2 linked regions of the Oreochromis niloticus genome follow. The protein of the gene in region 2 binds, or shares a complex with, the protein of the main gene of each other region. Links are inferred from orthologs where the notes say so. Each region holds a gene or a part of one and is shown on either strand. Other genes may lie near its edges.

Region 1 (10,409 bases), on a different chromosome or scaffold from region 2:
CGAGGAATCTTTGACCATATATCCTTAAGTGTGCATATTAAAGATATATATAGGACTACCTACAATGACTTGAAGAATATTGCTGAAATTAGAAATGTCCTGTGTCAGAGTAATGCTGAGATGCTAGTTTTTGCATTTATAACTTTTAGACTGGACTTCTGTAAATTATTATTATTCGCTTGCTGAGAAGCTCCCTGAAAAGGTTTTTATTTGATCCAGATGTTATGGTTGGGCAGATGTGGGTTTTTCATCTTGGTCTCTCTCTCTTTCTCTCTCTGCTTTGCCTCCCTATGTCCACTCTCGGTCGGTGCTGTTCTACAGACATCATCTGAGCTTTAAAGACAGAAGGACTCACCCTCATCTCACCTGCCTCCCCACTTTCCACCAACCCACTCACTACTCCTAAGTAGGGATGCACCGATACCGATACTGGTATCGGGTATCGGGGCCGATACTGTAAAATGTGTGCGTACTCGTACTCGTAAAAGTTAACCGATACCATGAACCGATACTAATGTAGCCCGAATTTGGGAGTAGATACTCATAATTCCCATGGACTTGAACGCCACGGTAACATAAGGTGTTCACAGTTATGTGATGTAACTGTACCCTGAATTTAATTTGCCCTGTAATATGTCACAAGGTAAATACAGGTAATTAGAGCAATCAAACTGTTATGTTAATCATAAAGTATTATTTTATGGTATGTAACTCTGAAGGGAGATAAAATATTGTTCAGAGTTCTAATTTTCTGGAGGCCCGTGAAGGTAGCATAAAACGGGACCTGTGTATCTGTTGCAATGGAGGAGGAGAAGAAGGGCAGAAATCTGTGCCATCAGAAACTGAATTTGAATAAGTTAAATTTGAATTTGAATTACTCGGATTGAATCTGAATTGTAACTTGAATGAAAGCTTTTGAAAACTGAATTTGAATTAGTTTAATTTGAAATTGAATTTATGGTTTGAAAATGAATTGATTTGCTTTGAAACTGCATTTTATCCTTTAAAAATTCAGCTCTCGAATAATTTCAGATTCACTTCTCACCATTCAGTTTCAGTTCTACAATTCAATTTCAGTTCCAAAATTCAGTTTTTTGGGACTTACATCCGGTTCCGGTTCAAGCGCAGATTAATAGAACTACAGACTGATAGCGTTACTGATGGAATCTACAGCGTCTTGAGCTGAATTAAGACTTCAGAAGTCATTCGTCATGTCGAATGACCAGCGGATAAACTCTCAGGTTGGTAATAAATGTATTACATGTATAAGAACAAGCGTCATGTTAACAAATGATAGCCGTACAGTAACCTTCATGCTTATTGTAGCTGTTAGCTAAAAACGCTAATTTAGCGTAGTTTGCCCTGATTTCAGCTTTGACAAACAAATATGATCGACTGTTTCTAGTAGAATTCCAAAGTTGTCATCTTGTACCCTGTCAGAGCCCTGTATGCTTGCAGAGACCCCTACAGTAGGGAAACATGCAAAACGCTGTCCAAACCTTTGTATTTGAGCTTTATTTATGTCTTACACAGCATCCCAACTCTTTAGCTAACTTAATAACTTTAGCTAAAGTGAATAGTTAGTCTTATTCATTGGTGCAGCTTTACTGGATCACCTCTGTTTGAAGTAATATAATATGATATACAACTATCACTGAAACAGCAAACTTTGTAAATAAACAACACTTCTCATTCTCTAAACGTTTGGCCACAGCTGTAGATTACACTATCAGTGCTTGTTCACTCTTGACAATAATTACATTTCTAAATTCTCTTTGTGCATTTACAGGTAAACAATATCTAATATTTTATCTAAATGACTGCTTTGTCTTTGAAAAGGTGAAGAGCCTGAGGCCGGTGACACTCCAGTTCTACTCTAAGTACATCCTTACGGTGGCTCACAGGACAAGGCTACATTCCTGTCCTGCCAGAAGAGAAGAGAAACTTCAGAGTCTTCATGAAGTTCAACCAAAACCTGTCATATTCCATATGACAGGGGTCTCAAACTCCATTCCTCGAAGGCCGGTGTCATGCAACTTTTCCATGCCCTCGAGGACTGGAGTTTGAGACCCCTGCTGTATGGTGTTCATGCAGTTTTCTACCCCACAGTTACAGCATGTCTGACTGCCTGTTCAGCATATGCAAAAATATATGATGAGTTTAAGCATGTGATGACTAAGGCCTTCCATTATGGTGTTTGTCATCACATGTCACAGACATCTGGATGATCATTTGGAATAAACAAAAAAACAAAAAACTTGTTACTTCATCTTTTATCTTTATTATTATTATTGTTCTTATTTTACATTTTTCATTGTTAGGCATTGGGTTTATTTGTAGTAGTCCTTTCCAGCTTCTTTCCCTCTTCCATGTTACTGTGTCAGCTTGTCAGCATCTATTTGGGGTTGGGAGTGGAACAGGAAGTAAGGAACAGAAAGTGCCATTTAAACCAGGAGAGGATCTTATATTTCAGAAGAAGGGATTAATTCAAAAGAAATGACCTCAATGCCATATTTTATTTAGGAACCCTAGAGAGCACTTTGCAAAATAACACATTCTTATAATTTCACCCTCAGATGAGCCAAGCTACGACTGTCAGGGAAGGTGATGTAGGTACAGAGCATGTGAGAGTGGTTAAGTTAATGTCTCTTGTCTAGATGAAGGCACAGGAGGGATCAATGGCAAGGCGTAGAGATTCAGTATCTTCAGTCTTCAGTGGACACTCCATTTCTGACACAAAACACCTGTAAAAGATGGTCGATTTAGGAGGTGACCCGACAACTTCAGCCTGTCAAACATAGCAATGGAGCAGTATGTTTAAAAAAAAAAAAAAATCTAATTAAGCACGCACTCAGTACCCTAAGAATTATTATGGTAGTTAAACACAGTGATAGTTGTATATCATATTATATCACTTCAAACAGAGGTGATCCAGTAACGCTGCACTAATGAATTAGACTAACTATTCACTTTAGCTAAAGTTATTAAGTTAGCTAAAGAGTTGGGATGCTGTGTAAGACATAAATAAAGCTCAAATACAAAGGTTTGGACAGCGTTTTGCATGTTTCCCTACTGTAGGGGTCTCTGCAAGCATACAGGGCTCTGACAGGGTACAAGATGACAACTTTGGAATTCTACTAGAAACAGTCGATCATATTTGTTTGTCAAAGCTGAAATCAGGGCAAACTACGCTAAATTAGCGTTTTTAGCTAACAGCTACAATAAGCATGAAGGTTACTGTACGGCTATCATTTGTTAACATGACGCTTGTTCTTATACATGTAATACATTTATTACCAACCTGAGAGTTTATCCGCTGGTCATTCGACATGACGAATGACTTCTGAAGTCTTAATTCAGCTCAAGACGCTGTAGATTCCATCAGTAACGCTATCAGTCTGTAGTTCTATTAATCTGCGCTTGAACCGGAACCGGATGTAAGTCCCAAAAAACTGAATTTTGGAACTGAAATTGAATTGTAGAACTGAAACTGAATGGTGAGAAGTGAATCTGAAATTATTCGAGAGCTGAATTTTTAAAGGATAAAATGCAGTTTCAAAGCAAATCAATTCATTTTCAAACCATAAATTCAATTTCAAATTAAACTAATTCAAATTCAGTTTTCAAAAGCTTTCATTCAAGTTACAATTCAGATTCAATCCGAGTAATTCAAATTCAAATTTAACTTATTCAAATTCAGTTTCTGATGGCACAGATTTCTGCCCATAGAGAACGGCATGGAGAGATGCACGAGGTTAGCTGAACCAAAGTGAGAGACTCGGCTAGTTTTACTGAGGTTAACTAGCACAAAAGAGTGTGTAACTAGAAAGCTAACTGTGTGAGAGCTTCACAACAGAGTGTGGGTGAAGTGACTTTTTGTTTCAACGGTCGCACCACCGTGGAAAACTGTGTTTCCAGCTACGACCGCCGAGGCTAAAGGCTAGCCCGGACTGCTTGGCTGCACCACGGAGGCAGCCGCTATGGACTGTCGGAGAGCTGGACAGTGACGGGCTAACGTGCTGTAGCAGAGACAGCATCGGGTCCGCAGGGAGTGGATTTAGTGTGGGACTGGTGAACGGCGACCTACCGAGCAACGGAACTGTAAGTCAGACTTTTGTGCTCTTACTGGGGAGAAGAGGATTTTTCTCCATCGTCCGGCGTGAGCAGCAAACAGGCCTGCAACAAGTGTGAATGTGAGTGTGTGTGGGGCCCATGTGTGAATATTGTATGTTTAGTGGAGTTATATAACGTGTTTTGGAGTGTATATTAGTGAGTAACTTACCAAAAGGTGATAACATAAGTTGGGTTGTTTAATATAATTTGAAAGGGAATTATTTCATTTATACAGTGTATTTCATTTGGTTAAGGAATTGGAATATCATTTGAGTTTAAAAAAGGGATGTGTTGTACAGTATTTGTCTCTGCCCTTACGTTCAGTAAACGTTTCGTTTGTGTTAAAGAGTTGTCTGGGGTCGTTTCTTTACTACTGGTTAAGTTTAACTTGTGTGTGGTAGAAGTATCGGATTTTGTACTCGGTATCGGCAAGTACTCAGATCCAAGTATCGGTATCGGATCGGTTTGAAAAAATTGGTATCGTTGCATCCCTACTCCTAAGGTATTGTGTCTGTATGCCAGCAGTCCCTCTTAAATCCCTGTTCAAGCGAATTACAAGATTTATCTCTCGCCTCTAATAGCTTACAGAGACTTACCTGCATGCACTCTGTCTCCTTCAGTAGAGACTTCCATAAAGGTTCTAGTATTCTAAGTCACTCGCCTACCCTTTACTATCTGTTCAATAAACAAGTTAAACCCATTAATGGTTGTCAGTGTCTGCTTCTGCAGACCAATTTGCAGTTAAATGTTACATCAGAAGGCTGCAGTGAGAATTCTGACAGGGACTAGAAAGAGAAATCCTATTTTTCTATATTGGCCTCTCTTCACTGGCTCCCTGTTAAATAAAAAATGTAAGTTAAAATTCTTCTCCTCACATGCAAATCTTTTAAAGTAGAATTTGAGGTGGAACTTACAGCTATCAGGTCCCTCTTCTGTCTCCTTGAATTTAATTGTTAGTTATTATTAATCTCTGGCTCTCTTCCACAGCATGTCTTCATCCTGTCTTCCACCCACAGCTGGTTGTGGTTGATGGCCGCCCCTCCCTGAGCCTGGTTCTGCCCGAGGTTTATGCCTGTTAAAAGGGAGTTTTTCCTTCCCACTGTCACCAGATTGTGACATCCGATTGAGAAGTTTTTCTCTGTATTATTGGAGGGTCTATAAAGCACATTGAGGCAACTGTTGTGATTTGATGCTATATAAGTAAAATTGAATTGAACTAATTTGAACTTAATCAGTTCCCAGTTTGGGAGACAGACAGGTTCTTCACTTTTAGAATTAGGATTAAAACTTCCCTTTTGATATAGCCTATAGTAAGGGCTGGATCAGGTGACCATGGACCATCCATTGGTTGGCTGCAATAGGGTTAGGCTCCCAGAAGTCTTCTTCTTTACTTACCTCATCTCGTGTTTTTTCCTCAGGCTCAACCGGTCCCAACATTTGGCTCCCCCTTTACAATTTTGTGCAACAAAACCAGAAAACAGCTCTATTTCAACTACATTAACAAAATGAATCAGAAATTAGTGCATGGCTTTGTATTTGCTCTTAAGTTCATAGAGTAAGTATGCTGATTTAAAGTGTTTTCTATGGAATTACACAAAAATATAAACCGAAAGAAGAGAAATAAAGTTGGAGGGTATATGATGGAAAGCTTTCAAAAGCTACCAAATGGACCTGGTGGTAAGATTATTTTCTTAGTCATTGTTTCCAAGGTCCTCTTAACAAGTTGTGAAAGCCAGTTTTTTATTATTAAAGTCAAAAAATAGAAATCCCAACGTCTGCAGGTTGTGGACTGATTGTGATGATCATGCAAAGCAGTAATAAATTTCAAGCTTTTTGTTGATTAATGGATTACATTTATGTCAGCGGGAATTCATAGTAGAAAAAAAAAACTACTACAAAGTAAAACCTGCTTTAGAGAAACATGGGCCTTCATGTTAATTAAGTCCTAATTGTCAGCAATATTTAAGCCTTTAGCATGTACTGGTTTTGTTTGTTAACCAAGGCAACAACCTGATGAATTAGGAAAAAATAAATGAAAAGACTGTTCAACTGTGAAGCAAAAAGTGAGCCTGATTTGTTCATCCTGCCTCATCACTGCTGGTTCCCGTCAGTGGAACATGAGGCTAAACTAACCTCAGACTGTGTGCGTTCATGAGGGGAAATAACCACATCTTCCAAACCTTGACGCAAAAACCTTTCGCGTCATGATGCCGGAGTGACGTCGGATGAAACATCTGATGACACAGTGACATGAGTGAAGAGATGCCATGAAGGGAGAATGAGTGGGATGTGGTAATGGGTGGGAAGGTGGGGATGGAGATGTGTGTCTGTGTGGGTGGGGTAGGGGGGGGCAGATGCTGTGACATCACTTTGGCTCTTATATACTCAGGGAATGGAGCCCACTGTGCTTCACATCCCAGCAGCAGAAAACTGCTTAAGTGTGTATAGATCTGAAGGAGAAGAAGAACAAGAAAAAAAAACAACAGCTTCACTAAATTTTGTCTTCAGCCTCTTTTTGTCTGTGTCTGGCCCCTAACCTTATGGACTAGATTCCTCCTCAGGTGAATTCTTCAGTGTGGGATCCTTTTTTTGTTCGTTTGGGGTATTTCTTTTCAGATTTTTTTGTTCTGATCAAGATGCAGACACAGTTGGCGTGTATGCTTCTCCTCTGTTTAACATGTGGTGCACTTTGTACAGGTAAGCACTGGTGTTCTTTCAACAGGTTTTCTATGCAGAACTTTATGAATTTATTCACAAAACAGGTGCATCTTACTGAAATGTTGCATGTGCATAAAAGAAGGAAAAAAAATACTGCAAATATTTCTGAAAAACCTTGAATGGCAAAGTTGGTTAAACAGGATGGTTTTGAGTTTGGTCCTTTAGATTAAATACTGAAATAACCTGCAGTTGAAATTATTTATTTTTTAGGAAAAATCAGAGAATGGCATCTGACTTCATGACTCAGCTAACTTTTAAACCTCGGTTTATTAAAAAAAATAAATGTATAAGTGAAAATCTTAATGTTGCTCAAGGATTGCAGCTCTTTTAGGCTACTACAAAACTATTTCCCCCCTCAAAGATCAATTGCCTCTTCCAGTCTTTCAAATCGATGCATAATTTGTGCTTTGTTTAACTGTCAGGGTGCACTGGGACTCAGGCTGATCAATAGTGTCACCTGTTGAAAGCTTAAAAGTGGCCATAGTCACAAGTGAATATGGGCTTTTATGAAAGTTTCACTTCACCTCTTTCAAACAAGGCACAGCAGAGAAAACTATTAATGTAACTATTAATGTAACTTACACTATTGTTAACATTCTTTGTTTGATCCTATGTCAGGGAAATGAAACTTAATTAGTTTCATTTATTTTACATTAAATGCAGTTTACACTGAACTATTTCCAATACTCAAAATCCATGTGAATGGATTGGTACTAGATGATAGTCACTTTTGGATCAATAAGCAAATAAAAGACAACTTTTATGCACACACACACACACACACACACACACACACACATGTATATATACATATTGATATTATGTGTTGCTTTTTGTCACTGTCAGGGTGCACAGGGACTCCATTATCAATAGTGATCAAGATGACCGAGGGCTGGGTTTCTTCGCCACATTACTATTCAAATGTAAATGATGAGAAACTAATTCTTAAATTTAAATAACATTTCATTGAGGACTGAGCTAAACTCCACTCCAAAAATATTGATGCCCCAAATACTGACTTCTTTAAGTAGTTGGATTACATGTCTCGGTATACATTTAGATTAGACCAAGTATTTTTGTTTTAGTTATATTGCTTTATGTTTATGAGGGCAGAAATCTTTTGTTTTGTGTTTTTATTTGTGTGAAATGTGAATGTTGTAAAGCTGTTTTTCTGTAACTGACAGATGTCGACCAGGAGCAGCGAGCGCTAGAAGAGGAACTACTCAGCAGTCTCTTCACTTCCAAGGTATCTGGTCTTTTTACATCTGTGATATCAGAGACTGGAAAGAAAAGCTTCATCCTGCCGGGTCGGTCTCTGACCTCGCCGATAAAGGCTTTCCATGTGTTCTTTCATGAAATCTACATCCGCGCTTCAGTGGCGACCTCAACTTGCGGTTGTGCTTATGCTGAGTGGGAGATAAATAATTTACCACAAGAGGCTTTTTGTGCCACTCAGGCTGCCTGAGCATTTACTTTGTTTTTTAAGTCGATTTGTTCTTTTTAAAAGTGTATCCAGTTCAAATGTGCTCAGAAAAATAAAAAAATAATCACCTTTCCATTTGCTGCAGTCCTTTGAAACGAGGAGAAAATAAGAGCTGAGATTGGGCATTCTAATTCAGTTGTAACTTTGAGCTTTTTATCACATTTATCTGATGTCTGCCTGAGGCTATGCAAAGCTCAGGTATGAAATCAGTGAATGTGGAACCAAAGGCATGCACAGACGGATGGCCGATCCTAATAGGATTCAGATGGACCTGGCAGTATAGTTACGACACATCTTTTACCCTTCCTGCTGATAAAAAACCGCGATGCTCACACGGAGACATGACGGTGACAAATCAGCCATTTGATTCATGGCTGCCGATGCTCAGAGGTTGCTCAGGGGTGATGATTGTAATAATAACTTGCTGCATGACTGACAGACTGCTCAAGAGGCTGGAAAGTGCAGTATGGTGGAAGATAGACCTATTTGTGGCTCTTTATCTACACACTATATATTTGACAATAAAATTGACTGATATACTCCTCACTTCCTTTCATCTGATTAAATACCACGGTTAATGCTCCATTGTGGTTTTTCATTCTCTACTGAATACAACTAAATTACCTTCTTATTTCTCTGCATAGTGAGTCACTGACCTCTGTGTTCAGTATCGTTAGTTGTTCCGATGCTGGAATTTAGATTGAGCTTTTGCTGTAACTGCTTTAGCGTCTCTATAAAATGCAAGTTTGTGAACGCTAAAGAGCCCAGGAGACTAACGTTAAGGTAAAAATTTCCAGTGAAGCACCACAATCTTTTATATGACATTACAGCACAATTGCATGGCCACACTAACTCAGCTAGTTTGTCTTTTGTGCATGGGCAATTTCCAAATGTCAGCTGCTTATGTTTGATCCTGCGAGACTTGTTCATTTGATGCCACTAAAGCTTTTATCCACGTCTCCTGCCTGGCAAACAAAAAGAGTTTTTGTCTTTATATTTGAGGATACTGTATATAAATGATGACCCGAGTGAGCCTCACTGACACTGACATCTTTAACTGCAACATGCACGTGACAGCCAGTACACACAGAAGACTCTGGGGGCTCTTTAATATCTCACTGCACTCTAGAGACATTAGATTATAACTCAGTTGTCTGCACTTAAATGAAGTTACGTGTGGCTGAAAAGTTCACTCTGAGTGCATGTGTCTTTAAAAAATAATCGGTGCTTAGATTACATTGTAAAAGTCTCACATGCAGAATCCTCAGTCCATTTTTAAAGGAACTACCTGAGTGTTTACTGCTGCAAATGCAAAATGTACAACATTAAAACACTGAGTGAGAGTTAGGTGTAGATCACAATATTGACTGTATTCTGTTTGCTATGAAATAAGCTATGAAAGGACAAATATCAAAATGATAAAGTCAACAGTTTGGCTGAATTTTAAAATTATGGCCACAGTTTGTACTTACAGTGTTGTGGACGTGGATTGAGTAATGGATGAAAATGTCGTTTTTCAGTCGGATCATTTCTGTCGATATAAATGTTTCACGAGAGAAAACAATCCCCATTAAACCAAAAAGCTTCTAAACCACCTGAAACGTCAGCCTCTTGAGTGGTCAGCACAGTTTTGACTTCACCCAAGTTCACAAAATACACTAAAACACCAACAAAAATATCGCTCAAAGCAGGAATCTGATTAAGTGATGCACTCTGAGTGTTAAAAACCCAACCATTCAATCCATTTAACTGTCTCATCCTGGTATCTTGTGCCCTCTGTGCAGATGAAACAGAATAAGCAGAGTGCCCCCTATTGGCGCGTGTCTCTGGCCAACCTCTGTAAGATGCTGAGCGCCCTGCGCCAGGAGGCATGGAGTGGCGAGGAGGAGGACGAGGATGGGGGTCTGAGGGAGGGGAGCCTCCAGCTGCTGGATGAGATGTACAACTTGCAGCGCATCTGCCGAGTACTGCAGAGCCGGGAGGAGAGGGTCAGACAATCATCTTTAACTTACTTTATTTTGCTGTGTGGGCTACTTTTCAAATAACAACAAATTGCATAAGCACAAGCAAATATTTACTGGTAAAATCTAAGTAT
Region 2 (9,758 bases):
GGTAGCGTCTCCTTTCAGGCCAGGATAGACGAATGTCACCGAGCAGTGACTAAGTTTGTGGTCAAAGGCTTGCACCCATTTGCCACAGCAGATGCCCCCGATTTTCGGTAAGTGAATGTGTTTAATTGTAGGCAGGGACATTACTGGATATTCTTGTGTAATTGCTACAGAATAATTTATGTTATACTTTGTTATTGCTACAGAAGAATATTTATTTTATTATTTTACATTTACAATTTTTTTCCCCGGGGACCCTGTGACACCCCATTGAAGAGCCGTAGGCTGTGGATCTCTTAAGGATCTCTTAAGAGCTCACTGTTGGGTTTGTAAGGCCATGTTACTCCTAAATTTCTATCTTGTTCAAAGAGAAGATATCAAACAAAGTTCTAAGCTAATCGACCTTAGTGTTCTCCTTTTTTTAAAAAAAGAATCGATAACAGAATCGATAAAGCATCGAATCGTTAAACAGAATCGAAAATGGAATCGGAATCATAAAAATCTTATTAATACCCATCCCTAACCCGGTGTGTCTAGAACATACCAGCATTTACTAAATGATATGTTTTTAATGCTTTGTTGAAATTGATCCTTTAACAGTGTAAGCCATGTGGGAAAGCTGTGAAGGAAAATCATTTTCCCAGTCCTGATCCAACTTGATTGGTCAGTTGAAATGGCATTAATTATGATGTTGTAGGAACAACACCATATCCGACACATTTTCAAGTGTTACCTTAAATTAAAGCTGTTGTTAGCTCTAGTGAGAGAACAATACCAACTAGGAGTAACATCTTAGTTAAATATTAGTAGAAGTATAGAAAATATTTAACATTTTTGAAACCCTTGAGAGATTTCGTTTGACAGTTTTAAGAAACACATCCAGGAGTCCTGCATTATTTATATTTGCCATTTACACACACACACACACACACACACACACACACACACACACTTTTTTCCCCTCAGAGTATTTCACTGTTGTCCAAACAGACCGAGCGTATGGTGACCGTCTACTGCAACAGGGTGCCTCCTAAACTGCTTACATCAAATCTATCATAGATGGACAATAGAGAATATGTACACAAACACTCAAAATGTTATTGTAGCAATTCGATTGTGTGATACCATCTGCTGCCAGACCCCAACACCCCAACTTATATTTCTACAGCAACACGTTGTCTACAGAGAACCGTGTGGAAAATGTGGACTTTTTAATGCAGCCTGGCTCACTTATGGCCTGAATGAAAGCAATGCAAGATAACAATTGCTATCCTTGGCACAGCTTTAGTTAGTCATGCAGGAGTGATGAAAACAGAAAAAAAAAAATGAGACATTGAAGGACATCAAAAGAGCAGAAAAACAGATATGGAAAAATAGATTCAGTATGATGCAGAGAAGCAGGGGGCACTAATCATGATGATCATTAACGATTACACTGGAACCAAAATCGCTTTTCTCCACAACCTCAACAAGTTTTCAGTCAATGTGAAGTATGTCGCCTGTCAAGCGAAGGGAGACTGGCCTAATCAATTACACAGCCTCTAAGCTTGTTGCTCTGTGGGAAGGCCTGGAGACAGTTTTGAGAAATATCTTTTCATTAGATGTGGGTGCCGCACTCTCAGTAAAAACTCAGTGTCTTGACTTCTATCAGTCACCTACACATCCAGAGCTCAAAGGCAAACTGCCATAAGGCACTTGTAGATTATTCCTAGGGTATCTGCCGTCAGACACAGATCAGCCTACAATGCACATAGTCCAGGGACTGAGGCACTTCAGGCATTTTCTCTTCTCTGGCATTTCAGACAGTTGCTCGAGAAAACAGAAGACCATGATATTTAGCTCTAATTTGTGTCCCTGTCCATTTCAACTAATTTCACAGAGTTTAAAGCTGTGATTCTCAAATTTTTGGTGGATGAGAGACAATTTAATGGGCACGCATTTGATTGAGGGCTGCATGGGTTAAATGCCACATAGTGGTGGTAATGTCATGGTTTGAGGCCAGACGGCTGGCCATCATTGATAAGTTTCACATTAAGCATGTGAAATTTGACATTGTGACATTTCACATGTAATAAGGGTCAAAAGCATCAATTCAGCGCTATGATTGAATTGAATTATTGAGACTGACATATAGAGCTGCAGAGGGACTTGCAAACATGCTTACACATCATATGTAGAGTTAGAGTCTGGCTGGTATTTTTCTGGGCCAAGGGAGTCCGAACAGAATGCCCCGTACTTAAATAATAAGTAGAACCAATAGGCTGAGAATTGTTAGATAATATTAATGCAGCAAGGTTAGGTTAGGGAGGTGTTTTTCTTTCTCTATCTTTTTCCAGAAAAGGAGCAGATGGTAGATGAGGTCAGACGTGGACGGAGTGGAGGAGAAGATCCGCGGGGGAGAAGACAGAACCGACCACGTCGTTTCCCAGAAGAAGATAGTCGTAATAATACTTGTTTTTATTGTGGCATAAAACTGTAATACAGGGTCATCCTTTTTGTCGAGCAGACCACTTGTTCACATCAAGGTTCAGCATGTTGTAACTTATAATTTCAACTGCTGTTCTTCCTTAAAGAAAGAAAAACAAACACCAACACCCTTTTTGAATTATATTTGTAACTGGTCTGTTCAGGGGGTTGTGTATAGGACTGTGCTTTATGCTGTTTTATGCTGTCATTTTGCTCTATTTTATAGTTCTCTGGCAATTTAGAAAGTGGCTGTTTTTTTTCTTATTCCTTGGCAGTACCTATACTTCCTGGTGTTAAGATATTTAGTCTGCTGTGATGATGAGATGAATTTCAAAAAGAATACTCCTTTAGTGTCCTCCTGTGCTTTTATATCATATCGTATAACATGGACTGTACGAATGAAGGTAAAGTGACACATTCTTTCTTTTCTTGTCACCATCACGGAGTGCATAATGTAAGACGGCTAGTTCCCTACATGAAAGCATCAAACCTACAGCAGTTCTGTGGGTGCTTCCACCCTCAAAATATTCAGTTTGCCACACAAAAGACAATGTCATGGTCTGATATTATCTTTTACAAGAAGCATTTCAAGAAATAGAATATCTTTGGAACCTGATCATTTTCACAGCTTGCATAAATTTATATTATATTTTTGACACTTCTGTATTTAACATTACTTTGACATGAGTTCAACCAACTCTCCCATTTAGGTTTCATGTGTAAAATAGCGCAAGCATTGGATTTTACTTTCCTAACCTTTCAAAGAGACCAAAAGCAACACATTCTCACATCTGAGGAGCTATAATGGTCAGATCTCTGGTGCTCTGTATGAAAAAAATATAGCTATAATCTAACTTTTTAGTGTGTTTATGAATGAATCTCTAATCATTCGAACTCTACCAGCTTAAAAACAAAGAAGAAAGTAAGCCAACACAACACAATTTGCTCACCAAATGTTTATTTTCAACAGATATATATATATAATTTATAAATATAACTGAAGACACGATAGTTTAAATAATTCGACTAAAAGCAATATTTGCTTTTTTCCGACTAAAAGCTATATTTGCTGATTTGCAGATCATTTGCTTGCAGCAGGAAAACACTGTTTTTGACAGACTTCGTTGACCCTACACGGTTTAATAACTAAAATGTTTTCATGAGCAGGCCACCATGTAGTTTTTTTTTTTCTCGACGAAACAACAACAACATGTATCGGTGCGCACAGACGATAATGGTAAAGGCGAAGTTGCGCGTAAAACTACAGCACACACTCCTAGATGTTTAGAACGATCTCACCATCTCAGCCATCTCACCTACCACTTGTGGCTCAAGTACTACTCATACTGTAGATTTTTACTCTCTCTCGATGCCTAAAGAAACCACAGTGGGGAGACGCGCGTTTGCGATAATAAAAGCTTTCCACGACACCCACCTGCAGCACGGTCTTCACCGTGACCGGAGACACCACAGTGGTGCATATCTTCTCGCCGTTACGCATCCCTTGGCCCATGATGAAGGGCATCGGCGTCGCGAGGGCGAAGGAAGCGAGCCACATGGCGCTGATGAGTTTCTTGGTGCGGCTGCGGGACATGATGCTCTTGGCTTTGAACGGGTGGCAGATGGCCATGTAGCGCTCCACGCTCAGGCTGGCGATGTTAAGCGCGGTGGCATAAGAGCAACTGTCCCGGAGGAAGTAGTAACCCCTGCACACGGCATCCCCAAACACCCATGGGTAATGGAACCAGATAAAGTTGTAGAGCTCAATGGGCATGGAGAGGATCAGGATGAGCAGGTCGGACACGGCGAGACTGGCCAGGTGATAGTGTACGGTGCTCTGGAGGTTCTGCAGCGTCTTTCTGGTAATCAGGGTATAAATGGTGATGGAGTTGCCCAGGGAGCCTATGGCGAACAGAGCCAAGTAAATGATAGTGACTATGACCTTTGCGTACACATTCGTATTAACTTCCAGGTCCTCCTCATTACTTTTGGGACCGACGGTGCTGTTATCAAATGGAGGCAGTGAGTTATTCTCAAAAAGTTTCTGCGCCAACGAGCCAAAGCCGATCAAGTCGCTCCCCGAGAGCGTGAAGTTTAAATCCATTCTGCTTTTTTTCATGAAGGTATGAAACGAAAAGGTACAACGGAGCAAGCCGAGCGGATATGTGCCGACGCGTTAACACTTGAAGTAAAACGGACTCGCTCTGGTTTAAGTCAGAGGAGACCACCCTTTATAATTTGGCACGACAGGAGGCGTGCTCGCTTATTGGTGCTGCTGCGATGACGCACGACCATTCACTTTGTCCGTTTGTTCCATCTTGTCCGTTTATGGTTCACCTTGGAAACAAACAGTGCGATGCAACAACGGATCAAGAATTAAAGGAATTTAATTTCAAGTATGGTTTCTAATATAAGTTTTTTTCTTTGCTGTTTTTCTCTGTTTTTTTTTTTAAAAAACCTTTAACTTTCTCTCCAAAAAGCTTTTGTCCTCTTTCTTCTCTCAGTCAGCCTTACAGAAAGAGATGATGTTATGTGTAAGCTGGAGACTCCACAACAGGGTACCAGACTTTACTCTGGGCCCCAGATAATGATTATGCTCATGATCTACTCCTAGTGTGAACTCCTTTGGACAAGAAGGAGAAAATTATTCTAATGGTTATTTCACAGCAGTTGGCACTGAATGCAGTGTAGCAAACCAGGCTCACCTCTTTTTGACATTTTTCCCACATTGTTTATCACACAGTTGTACATCTAAAGATTTTAATATATGCATATCATTTCAGTTTTTCCTCACGCCTGGGTGCTCACTATCATTCATATGTTGCTCATACATTATATAAGGCTTTAAAGCATTGTTTATGTGTTGCAAGATCATTTCTGTTGTGGGACTCTGCCGAGCATCAACAACCTGTCCATGACACCCTCCAAACTCTGATAAAACAGAACATCTCTTTCTGATTGCTGCCCTGGGGCAAAAGTCCCCTAAAAATCAATACAAATGTATAGAATAGAAATAAAACCAGTGGATTATTTAACAGTGGCTATTGTTTTAGTTATATAGTTAAGATTTGTGGGATTCATAAAATAATATTTCTCTAAAAAGATAATTTGATAGTCATTTGTCTAAAAAAAGGGAGAGGAAAAATCCCAACATGCAACATTCAGCATGGTGCAAAAGTCTGAGCCACTTATGATTTCTGTATATTTTGATAGGAAAACAATTATATATTTTTACAGTTGCAACAGGCTTGAAAGTCAACATTTTGTATGATCACCTTTATGCTTCAACACTCTCTTAGGCAGCTTTCCTGTAATTTTTTTTTAAGGAGGCTTCAGGAATAGTTCTTCAGGCTCATGGAAATGTTGTCTGCCTTTTGTTCTGCCATCCTCTCAGGATGATCCCACACTGCTTCAATAATGTTATGTTGGTCTAGGATCTGGGAGACCAGCTCTTGATTGATGTATGCTTTTGTATCCAGACCTGCTTTTCCTGCATTGACAATTTGTTTCAGTACCATTGTACTGACAATTGAAACTGTTGCCAATCAGATGCTTTCCAGATTAAATTGCATAGTCGATCAAAATCTGATGTTACTTTTCTGCATTCTCTCTAGGCTTGTGTTTATGCTATAGAAACGCACTGTGATACCGTTCTCCTCACCTCATCCTTAATGATAATTTGAACAAAAAATTTCAAATTTGGATTAATAACTTCATAAGACATGTTGCTACTGACTTCAGTCCAGTGGTTGTGTAATTTGGCATACTTTGGCCTTTTCTTCCTGTTTCTCTTCCTTGACAATGGCTTCTTAACAGCCATGTTTTACTGAGACCATTTTTGATAAGGCTTCAGCAAACAGTAGGTGGATCAAATGAAGGGCTAGGGTTGTCTCTAGTGCTGTGTCAGGTCTTTTGCGGCTTATTTCATACTGCTTAATAACACAACTTTCAGATACTGTTCAACGCTTCTCCTTTTACCGCCACTTGTCCAGTTTCCTCAAATTTATATGGACATACTGCACAGCATGCTGAGGTATGGCAAATTTTCAGGTATTAGCTCTTTGGGAACCACCTTGCTGATGCTAAGGTGCCTAATGATGCAATTTAAAGTGTACAAGAAAAACTACATGTATAAAGGGTAATTTACACGGGGCGATCGTGGCTCAAGAGTTGGGAGTTCGCCTTGTAATCGGAAGGTTGCCGGTTCGAGCCCCGGCTTGGACAGTCTCGGTCGTTGTGTCCTTGGGCAAGACACTTCACCCGTTGCCTACTGGTGGTGGTCAGAGGGCCCGGTGGCGCCAGTGTTTGGCAGCCTCGCCTCTGTCAGTGTGCCCCAGGGTGGCTGTGGCTACTATGTAGCTTGCCATCACCTGTGTGTGTGAATGGGTGGATGTCTGGATATGTAAAGTGCTTTGGGGTCCTTAGGGACTAGAAAGCGCTATATAAATACAGGCCATTTACCATTTACACCATGGAGGAGAGCAAAATATAGACATGAGGGGTGGTTCAAGACTTTTTCACATTTCTGTATGTGGTTTTTTTTTCCAATTCACCCAGTTAAAGAACAATATTAATTGTTATTAACTGTTAAATATTAAATATATTTTTGTTCTTCTCCTATTTTTGTAAAAAACATTTTTCTGGTGTGATATAAGATAACAATCCAATAGTTATAACAGGCAAAAATACTAATAGTGCTAACTCCTTTTTAAAATGTTTAGTAACAGAGTTAACTTAAACAGATCTGAATCATGTACAATTTCCAGGCAGTCACTTACCCTAGGTTTGTTTTTAAGGAAAACCAGTGTGTCCACATTAAATTGTAAGGAGAAGCTTCTTAGTTTTAATAATGAAAAGACAATTTAAGCACTTATTCAACCTTCATGACTGAATTAGTTGTTATTAAAAATGTGGGGAATTTAAAAAGTCATTTATAAGCACTACCTGCTTTTAGGTATAGCATAAAATGTTTAGAAAGTCTTTATAATTAAAATATAAGATCTAAAATATAAGCTTTAAAAGAAATGTCATGTCTCTGACTGTCCACTGTTAACCCTTTTAGCAGAGCTCCTGTGACTTATATTGTAAGTATCTTATGTTGCTCTCTCTCAGTAAAATTTGGGCACAATAAAACTGGTGTGAAAGCCACCCCAATTTTTTGTCAGACATATGTATATTTTATCCACAGGTACAGTTAAAAAAATGATGCTAATATGTTCTGCTAGAGAGTATTGCAGGGAAACGTTTTAAAATCAGACAGTCTTCCATGTCATCCCTACTCTCAGTTCACAGGCAGAAAGGAATGAAAAAGAAAATAGAACCTTAGAGAAAATGAAAGTGAAGGTGCCATAATGGTAGCGATGTGTCGTTTGTGAATGAGCCGGTTCTCAGAGTCGATTCTTTCTAGCGAATGACAAGAGCTGACTCTAGCCAGGGAGAGCCACATCTTTAGCCTACCCTACTGAGAACTCATGCATGTAGGGATGGGATATTATTTTGATTGACATGCCATATGGCCAATCACATGCAAAGACAGACCATTATGTGAAAGAAGGAAGGTTGGCAGCTATTTCAAACAGAGCATGTCGGGAAAATAATATTTTAAAACTTTACTTTCACTAAAAAGTGATGAAATGAGTGAAACATGAAAAGAAGCATCTGACTGCATTTCAATGGTATTGGAACTGCAAAGATAAAATTATATTTATTTTTTCAACCATTTGCCATTGTGGAGGACAACAGATTTAAAACTTTTTTTCCAGGCCTTAAATTCCATGTATTTTCTACCAAGCAGTTGCATAAAATTTAAGTGTTTTTGAAAACACTGAATCAAAAATTGGTTCACAAAAGACAAACAATTCATAATTGTGAAATTAGGTTAAATAGAAGGCTCTGAAGTGGGAAACAAGCCAAAAGAGCAGAATCTTCGAAAAGAGCCAGATCTCCCATCACTACATCATAGATACAGCATATATTTACAAAAGCTACAGAAAGCTGCAAGCAAACCTAAATTTGTACATGATCTTTCAGGAGCTCCCTTTAGGGGTCACTACAGCAGAACATCTGCCTCCACCTCACTGTATCCATACCGTCTTATTCTGTCAAACCAACCAACGAACCAACCCTCTTTATCTTTATGTCTGGCAGCTCCATATTCAACATCCTTTGCCCATTATATCCACTCTCTGTCTTCTTCAGCCTTCTCAGCTTTGGCTCTTTAACTTTGTCTTATCCTCTGTTACCTTTAGTTGTGCCTCTTGTCTTTTTGTCAGTTTCCAAAACATACATCATGGTAGGTCTCACTACTATCTTGCTGCTAATCCTGTGTCATAAACCACCCCTGGCACTCTCAACCTGCTGGATCATTTCTGCATCTTCATTAGGCGATTTGGTAAGAATTTAGCTATTCTGATTCCATTATAGATCTCTTATTGATTGTGATTGGGTTCTTACTGGCTCTGTTTTGAGAGTAACTGCCATTGCTAAGCAGCAATAAAGAAATTACATTGGATCAAATGTTTCTGCATGTTTGTTGAGGTATTTCCCCTCTTTGTTGTGATCAGTGTTGGAGTCATTATTAAAAAAGTAATTATTACACATATTATGCAGAACATGTTTCTTAAAAGTAATGCAGTACCTTAATTAACTACTCCCAGAAAAAAGTAATTTATTATACTACTCATTACATTACTTTCATGTTACTCTGTAAAATAGCTGAAACACACTGTCTCATAATCACCATTCAACAAACATAAATCTGAGGCTACAACCCCGCAAACCAACACAAATCCCTAGTAAGGACAAACATCTTTAAGATCTTTCTCTTAGTAGAATACAAAGCTGACCGCACAAAGCAAAGATGAAAACCAGCACAAAAAAAAGATTGCCACATAGATTCTGATTTAGAAACATGAACAGGTAGAAAGGGAGGCTTCAGCCTGAATGCTCATCTCTTTGTTACTTATTGAAGTAAAGGGTCCAGCTGCTGGGGTTGGCATTCACCCAGCTTTCACCCTGGGTTTTTGGCTAGCTTAGTATTAGCATCCTGTCTGTAGAGATGCAGAAGCATAATGTGGTTGTTTCTTTGCTAGATTGCCATGTAGCTTGTCTTTTTGTGCAATAAATATAAATGTCCATATTCACACTCTAGACTGCGTGGCTGTTTTCCTCCTCTGACTGTGAACTGAAATCAGCTGATTGTAGCAGCAGGCAGACTAACAATTCTAAGGAATGGGCTACTGGGAACTGATTTTCTACAAGAACATGTTCTCAATTTCCATACCTAATCTAAATTT

The links. Proteins that work in one complex are often made in the same cells at the same time.
Region 1: the proteins of ntsr1 (region 2) and nts are in contact, whole or in part, in a crystal structure (PDB 4BUO), measured with the Rattus norvegicus proteins. The link is inferred for Oreochromis niloticus from reciprocal best matches to the Homo sapiens genes NTSR1 and NTS. Residues at the interface, in NP_001102437.1 of Rattus norvegicus: Ser53, Asp54, Leu55, Asp56, Asn58, Phe128, His132, His133, Tyr146, Met208, Val224, Cys225, Thr226, Pro227, Ile238, Arg327, Arg328, Phe331, Cys332, Tyr333, Ile334, Ser335, Asp336, Trp339, Phe344, Tyr347, His348, Tyr351; in NP_001095851.1 of Rattus norvegicus: Arg157, Arg158, Pro159, Tyr160, Ile161, Leu162.

What each region holds. Positions count from the first base shown.
Region 1 is NC_031972.2:42,109,573-42,119,981, reverse strand, and holds the start of nts (neurotensin/neuromedin N), read left to right. Parts: upstream 1-6,516; 5' UTR 6,517-6,749; coding exon 6,750-6,810; intron 6,811-8,015; coding exon 8,016-8,077; intron 8,078-10,098; coding exon 10,099-10,302; intron 10,303-10,409. UniProt on the Homo sapiens protein: Neurotensin may play an endocrine or paracrine role in the regulation of fat metabolism. It causes contraction of smooth muscle.
Region 2 is NC_031984.2:32,288,364-32,298,121, forward strand, and holds the start of ntsr1 (neurotensin receptor type 1), read right to left. Parts: upstream 4,657-9,758; 5' UTR 4,583-4,656; coding exon 3,899-4,582; intron 1-3,898. UniProt on the Homo sapiens protein: G-protein coupled receptor for the tridecapeptide neurotensin (NTS). Signaling is effected via G proteins that activate a phosphatidylinositol-calcium second messenger system.